Linked DNA regions of Saccharomyces cerevisiae S288C. Changing the gene in region 2 together with the main gene of any one other region gives a genetic interaction. Each region holds a gene or a part of one and is shown on either strand. Other genes may lie near its edges.

The links.
Region 1: mutations in DUS3 (region 2) and TEF1 impair growth when combined (synthetic growth defect), as found in Saccharomyces cerevisiae (one study listed by BioGRID).

What each region holds. Positions count from the first base shown.
Region 1 is NC_001148.4:698,590-702,345, forward strand, and holds TEF1 (translation elongation factor EF-1 alpha), read left to right. Parts: upstream 1-2,004; coding exon 2,005-3,381; downstream 3,382-3,756. Other genes in the region: MRL1 (Mrl1p), read left to right, coding at 280-1,425; GRS2 (putative glycine--tRNA ligase), read right to left, coding at 3,525-3,756. UniProt on the Saccharomyces cerevisiae protein: GTP-binding component of the eukaryotic elongation factor 1 complex (eEF1). In its active GTP-bound form, binds to and delivers aminoacyl-tRNA to the A-site of ribosomes during protein biosynthesis.
Region 2 is NC_001144.5:922,371-926,126, forward strand, and holds DUS3 (tRNA dihydrouridine synthase DUS3), read right to left. Parts: upstream 2,079-3,756; coding exon 72-2,078; downstream 1-71. Other genes in the region: zinc-coordinating transcription factor SFP1, read left to right, coding at 3,198-3,756.

The sequences.
Region 1 (3,756 bases), on a different chromosome or scaffold from region 2:
TTATTTACCAAACTGTAGTTCCCGCTCACTAATCCTTTCTTATACTTATTCACATTACTGTCACTTTGCGGCTGTATTTGGCCGCGTTTCCCTTTCGGGTGCAGGTACAAGAGGTATCCGAAACAAGAAGGGTTAAGTTTTGAAGAAAATGCCAAGTATTTCAATTTCAATAATAAGAACGCAAAACTACAGGAGACTCTTACTAAGCATACTACTTCTCAAAAAAGGGCTTTATTTTATAGAACATAAAACATACTGTAGGATCGCACACTGGAAAATATGTTGAAACGATCATCTCTAATATATCTATCATGTGTCCTAATCATTACCATACCAATACTTTTGCATGTATACAATGGTCCAGGACTGTCCCATGAAGCCAATGAACATAGGGCTTCTCACAAGCAAAAAAGAACGTTAGCAAATCCGGATAAACCCAAAAGCGAAAACGATGAAGATCTATTTTGTGCGGTAACCAACCCAGTCACCGGATCATACATAGATCTATCACAGCTATCTTCAACTCCCAACAAATTAAGGGAGGGCCAAAAACAGATTTCTGGCAATAACAAGCATGAATCCTCCAAGACGAAGTGGTCAGTGAGAGGTTGGGGCTACGATACAAACTTCACGTTAGGCATCTGCTCTAGTCCTGTCGGAGAAGCTGAGTCGCAACAACTGTCCAATCTAACGGGCGCTTTTTACGTAGACCAGTTGAACGAAAATAATTTAGTATCGATTGGAGACTTCAGTACAAGGCCTGCGTTAGTCGGCGGCTCTACTGCCAAGAAATTAACTCTCAAATACGAAAACGGCTCTATGTGCCCGAACGGGAAGGACAAGAAGGCAACTTTATTGAATTTTGTCTGCGATAAAGAAATTCAATCAAAGGCCCAGATATCATACATTGGAAACCTACACAATTGCTCGTATTTCTTCGAAGTCCGCAGCATTCATGCGTGCCCCACCTCAAACAAAAAGAATGAAGTTAACGTTTTGGGTATCTTCATCGGTATCTTCGCTATATTCTTTTTAGTCGAATTTGCGGGGAGAAGATGGATCTATGCTAAACTAAATAGGCATTTGAAAAACGACGACGAGTTACACGACATATCGCCATCTTTAAATGAGCAACCACACTGGGACCTCATAGAGGACGGGTCTCGCTGGAGTAAATTTTTCAACGGGATAATTAAGACGACAAGAAGGTTCACGAAATCTTTAATGAGGTCTTTAGTCAGAGGCAGGAACAGCCGTCAAGGGGGCATAAGACTACGGTCATCCCCATCTGCCTCTTCGTCCAGCCTTGCCAACAGGGAGTTCTTCAGAGACATGGAGGCTCAAAACGAAATTATTGACAGCCTAGACATCAATAGTCATACAACAGAAAGCGACCACCCAACTTTGGCTGATAATAGCGTATAAACAATGCATACTTTGTACGTTCAAAATACAATGCAGTAGATATATTTATGCATATTACATATAATACATATCACATAGGAAGCAACAGGCGCGTTGGACTTTTAATTTTCGAGGACCGCGAATCCTTACATCACACCCAATCCCCCACAAGTGATCCCCCACACACCATAGCTTCAAAATGTTTCTACTCCTTTTTTACTCTTCCAGATTTTCTCGGACTCCGCGCATCGCCGTACCACTTCAAAACACCCAAGCACAGCATACTAAATTTCCCCTCTTTCTTCCTCTAGGGTGTCGTTAATTACCCGTACTAAAGGTTTGGAAAAGAAAAAAGAGACCGCCTCGTTTCTTTTTCTTCGTCGAAAAAGGCAATAAAAATTTTTATCACGTTTCTTTTTCTTGAAAATTTTTTTTTTTGATTTTTTTCTCTTTCGATGACCTCCCATTGATATTTAAGTTAATAAACGGTCTTCAATTTCTCAAGTTTCAGTTTCATTTTTCTTGTTCTATTACAACTTTTTTTACTTCTTGCTCATTAGAAAGAAAGCATAGCAATCTAATCTAAGTTTTAATTACAAAATGGGTAAAGAGAAGTCTCACATTAACGTTGTCGTTATCGGTCATGTCGATTCTGGTAAGTCTACCACTACCGGTCATTTGATTTACAAGTGTGGTGGTATTGACAAGAGAACCATCGAAAAGTTCGAAAAGGAAGCCGCTGAATTAGGTAAGGGTTCTTTCAAGTACGCTTGGGTTTTGGACAAGTTAAAGGCTGAAAGAGAAAGAGGTATCACTATCGATATTGCTTTGTGGAAGTTCGAAACTCCAAAGTACCAAGTTACCGTTATTGATGCTCCAGGTCACAGAGATTTCATCAAGAACATGATTACTGGTACTTCTCAAGCTGACTGTGCTATCTTGATTATTGCTGGTGGTGTCGGTGAATTCGAAGCCGGTATCTCTAAGGATGGTCAAACCAGAGAACACGCTTTGTTGGCTTTCACCTTGGGTGTTAGACAATTGATTGTTGCTGTCAACAAGATGGACTCCGTCAAATGGGACGAATCCAGATTCCAAGAAATTGTCAAGGAAACCTCCAACTTTATCAAGAAGGTTGGTTACAACCCAAAGACTGTTCCATTCGTCCCAATCTCTGGTTGGAACGGTGACAACATGATTGAAGCTACCACCAACGCTCCATGGTACAAGGGTTGGGAAAAGGAAACCAAGGCCGGTGTCGTCAAGGGTAAGACTTTGTTGGAAGCCATTGACGCCATTGAACAACCATCTAGACCAACTGACAAGCCATTGAGATTGCCATTGCAAGATGTTTACAAGATTGGTGGTATTGGTACTGTGCCAGTCGGTAGAGTTGAAACCGGTGTCATCAAGCCAGGTATGGTTGTTACTTTTGCCCCAGCTGGTGTTACCACTGAAGTCAAGTCCGTTGAAATGCATCACGAACAATTGGAACAAGGTGTTCCAGGTGACAACGTTGGTTTCAACGTCAAGAACGTTTCCGTTAAGGAAATCAGAAGAGGTAACGTCTGTGGTGACGCTAAGAACGATCCACCAAAGGGTTGCGCTTCTTTCAACGCTACCGTCATTGTTTTGAACCATCCAGGTCAAATCTCTGCTGGTTACTCTCCAGTTTTGGATTGTCACACTGCTCACATTGCTTGTAGATTCGACGAATTGTTGGAAAAGAACGACAGAAGATCTGGTAAGAAGTTGGAAGACCATCCAAAGTTCTTGAAGTCCGGTGACGCTGCTTTGGTCAAGTTCGTTCCATCTAAGCCAATGTGTGTTGAAGCTTTCAGTGAATACCCACCATTAGGTAGATTCGCTGTCAGAGACATGAGACAAACTGTCGCTGTCGGTGTTATCAAGTCTGTTGACAAGACTGAAAAGGCCGCTAAGGTTACCAAGGCTGCTCAAAAGGCTGCTAAGAAATAAGGAGATTGATAAGACTTTTCTAGTTGCATATCTTTTATATTTAAATCTTATCTATTAGTTAATTTTTTGTAATTTATCCTTATATATAGTCTGGTTATTCTAAAATATCATTTCAGTATCTAAAAATTCCCCTCTTTTTTCAGTTATATCTTAACAGGCGACAGTCCAAATGTTGATTTATCCCAGTCCGATTCATCAGGGTTGTGAAGCATTTTGTCAATGGTCGAAATCACATCAGTAATAGTGCCTCTTACTTGCCTCATAGAATTTCTTTCTCTTAACGTCACCGTTTGGTCTTTTATAGTTTCGAAATCTATGGTGATACCAAATGGTGTTCCCAATTCATCGTTACGGGCGTATTTTTTACCAATTGAA
Region 2 (3,756 bases):
CTTGCAAAGGAAAAATAACCGCGCTTACCCATCAGATATGATTTATGATACATGTACACTTGATTTTCTATTTAGGAATCTCTGTTTGCATAAGAGCTGCTCTTATGTTTGGGGACAAATACAAAGTTCTCGTCGGTTTTACCGAAAAATAGATCACTTAGCTTGATCCAATCATTAACATCCGTACTACCCATTAGAGTTTCAAGTTCGTCTCTTCCACACCAGTTTGGCGGTCTCTCATTCAACTTCACAGGGTATCTTTCACAAATACCCATGGGGACATACCTATGAAAAAAGGACATGAACTCGCAGAAGAATCTACGACATTGAGAAATGCCGTATTCGTCGGTGCCCCAGTGTTCCATAGAGAACTGCGCATAATCCCTTAAAATGTCTAATCTTTCCGTACTTGTCTTGTCTAGATACTGCTGCGACTCAACCTCTTCAAAAATCCATGGTTTGATCAGGGCCCCTCGAGCAACCATAACACTATCAATATTTTCATTTCCGTTCAAATAGCGGTACCAGTCTTCAAAATTGTTGACATCACCATTTCCGACAAATTGAATTCTGTTCTTGGAATCCCTGCCTTCTTTGCCTTGTTCGGTTTCGATGAAATCCGCTTCGGCGGATCTCAAGGTGTCAGCCACTTGACTCACGTAGTCCCAATCCGCAGACTTAGTGTACCTTTGTTGCCTAGACCTACCGTGTAAGGTAATCGCAGCCACATCAGTTTCGTTAACCAGTCTTTTGACTAACCCTTCCGCGATAGGATGACCTTCCTTTGTACCTGTTCTGATCTTCACCGTGATAGGAATATCTTTCGATACGTAGTTCATCGCGTTTAAACAACGAATCATTCTTGCAGGGTTATCCAGCAGGGCGCTACCAGAACCTTGTCTGTATAGCAAATCGATGGGGCAGCCAGAGTTTAAGTTGATTTCACTTATTTCACTGACGGAGTTTGCGAGTGCTTCTGCAGCCTTTGCCGCCTGCCAGGCTTTAGAACAGGCCACTTGAACCCCGAACCCGGGGAACTCTGATGTGTGAGCTTTAGGTAACGCCCACTCAGAATTAGTTCCTTGAATTAAGGGAACTGCCAAGGCCATTTCCGAATATGTCACATCTGCACCTAACTTTCTCATTAGACGACGGTATGGTAAATTGCCTACGGTTGTCAATGGCGACACGATTTTTTTGTGGTACAAATCCAGTGGCTTTTTTTCTTGAGCAAAATAACGAGTGTCCTTGTACTTCAAGTATACTTCACGCTGTTTCATTCTATGTTCTGACAATTCTTTGTTCCTCTGTTCGACTTGGGGGGCAACTGGTTGTTCCACATCTGGGTCTTGTTTCTTCAGCTGTGGCGTTGACTCAACTTCTTCTTCTGGCTTCATGGAATCTCTACATTCTTGTTGGAAAGAGTCGATGATTTCCAATATTTCATTACTTTTTGTGAAAGGAAATCTTCTTTTTATAAGATCGAGTTTTCTTTCCGGTGAGATATGGTTTACCTCACCTTTAACGGACCATATTGTTTGCGCATCTGGATCAATCTCCTTCTTCGATATTAGGATATTATCTTCTTTATTCAGATGAGACGATAAAAATCTGCATTTGAATCCCATGGGGCAAAATCCCAACGAGTTGAAGACCGGACAGGAAGGAAATATATTACTTTCAACTTCAGGCTTTTTTGTTGAAAGGTACAGATTGATATCGTGAACAAACCTACAGTTATCACCAAAGGAGCATTTAGATATATCGCCATGGATCAAGCGTGGGCACAAGACATTCTGTTCCTTGACCTGCCTGTTATCTCTATTCTTGTTTTGCCCACGCTTCTTACCTCTTCCGTTCTTATTTTTCTTATTAGTCCCACCTGCAAACTCGTTTGTCATTCTGTCGGAAGACATCTCTTCATCATAGATGGCGACCTTCTGGTTTTCATTCTGCTTCAATGGTACAATATATTCTGGTTTGATATGTGCAATACCTTTGGACGGGGAAGTGTCTTGTCTCTTCACGGTTGAGTTGTCGTCGCCAACAATAGAGCGTTTTTCAGCGTTTTGCTCCATCAATAATGTTTAGAAGTTGCCTTTTTTTCCTATTCTGAGTTCATTAATGTTTCATTACTGCTCATCTCATCACTACACATTCGAACTAAATTCTTCATAACTTTAACTAGATCTTATGAAACTTTTCAAAAATGGTGCACGGGCTTTCTGTATATTGAACTTTCCGTCGCTTTTCGGAGCTACAATTCCCCTACCCGGCTTGTCGGCATTAAGTCTCTTCATCCCGTGTACTATTACCCGACAGGTTTCTGCGGCATGTTCTGTGGAACGACGGTACGGGCGGTGACTGGGTGCCAAACAGTGCGGCGTTCCCGTGCGCAAGGTGGTCTGCGGTAGGAAAAAGAAACAAAACGCGCCTACGTCGTGCAAGGGGACAGGATTTTGTCAGTTACATAATAAGGAGCAATTTCGAATCAATTGAAATTTGGAACAAATGGGCGATGCATTCGTTAAAAGGCGATTTTGTATCAAATAACGTCACTATCAGCCATTGTCACTTGCCACTGTCGCCTGCCACCGCTATTGCCATTATCATTTGCTTTCGCATCGTCACCGATTTAAAGCTCTCTAGGCTAACGTACGCATTTTACCTCCCAGGCCCTATCTCTTTTCTACCTGTCATCCCTATATAACGTCTTGTACATTCTAGTGGCTCCGTTAACAAGGTTTGACAAATATTACAATCAAAGAAGGATAGCGCTAGTCAATCTAATCATTAAGTTCGCTTATAAAGAGAAGGAAAGCTAGATTTTTTTTCTACTTCAATTACATATCGGTGCTTCTCTCTGGTGGTTTTCTGTTTTTCTAATATTGATCGATTTTACGGTGAGTTAAACTACTTCCTTTTATCGCAATATCATATTTAGAGCGAGAAAGCAAGAAGAATAAAGCTAGGAGAAAAAAGCGCCACGATACATTCATACTAAGTTTATAATATACCGGTCGTCTTTTGGCTTTCTGATACCATATTATATCCTCGAAACACTTTCTCTGGATTCACCTACTATTAATCACCTCAAGATTTCACTTGTAAGGCGTTTTCAAATTTATTGTTATTAAAAGACATATTCATATTCAGTATTTTTATTTTTCTTCGAAACAGGAAAAGCTTATCTGAGTATGGATTTTACAACAATGACTATGGCAAGCAATATGGCTACTAGTACTACTACGACGGCTACATCGGCACATGCATCTATAAATTCGTCATCAAACTTTAATATTGATATTGATTCGAACCAGAATACTCCTTCCATTTTGATAAATAACAATTCGGATTCTTCTAATGGAAAAAACACAGATTTTAACGGCGTCAATAATATTCACCAAAAAAATATCATGAATAATACAAATAATGTTCATTTGTACTCTCCAAATATAATGGACCAAACGCTACTAACTCCACAGGACATTGCCAAGTTACGGAGAGAATCAATAGCCCATTCTCAAGGGATGGGTGGTGTTTCATGGGGATCCATTAGTGTTGGTTCTTGGTTAAGAGATGAAATTATTAGCCGTAGAAATAGTATTGTACCTGCATCAGCAAACGGTGCTGCCTCCGCTGCCGCTTCTGCAACCACTACTGCCACTAATACTTTGCAGATTCAACAACCAACTAAGAGACCCTCTGTTAGTAATCCGCCTTACCATAGAGGGTATTCTATTTCTCCTCAGATAG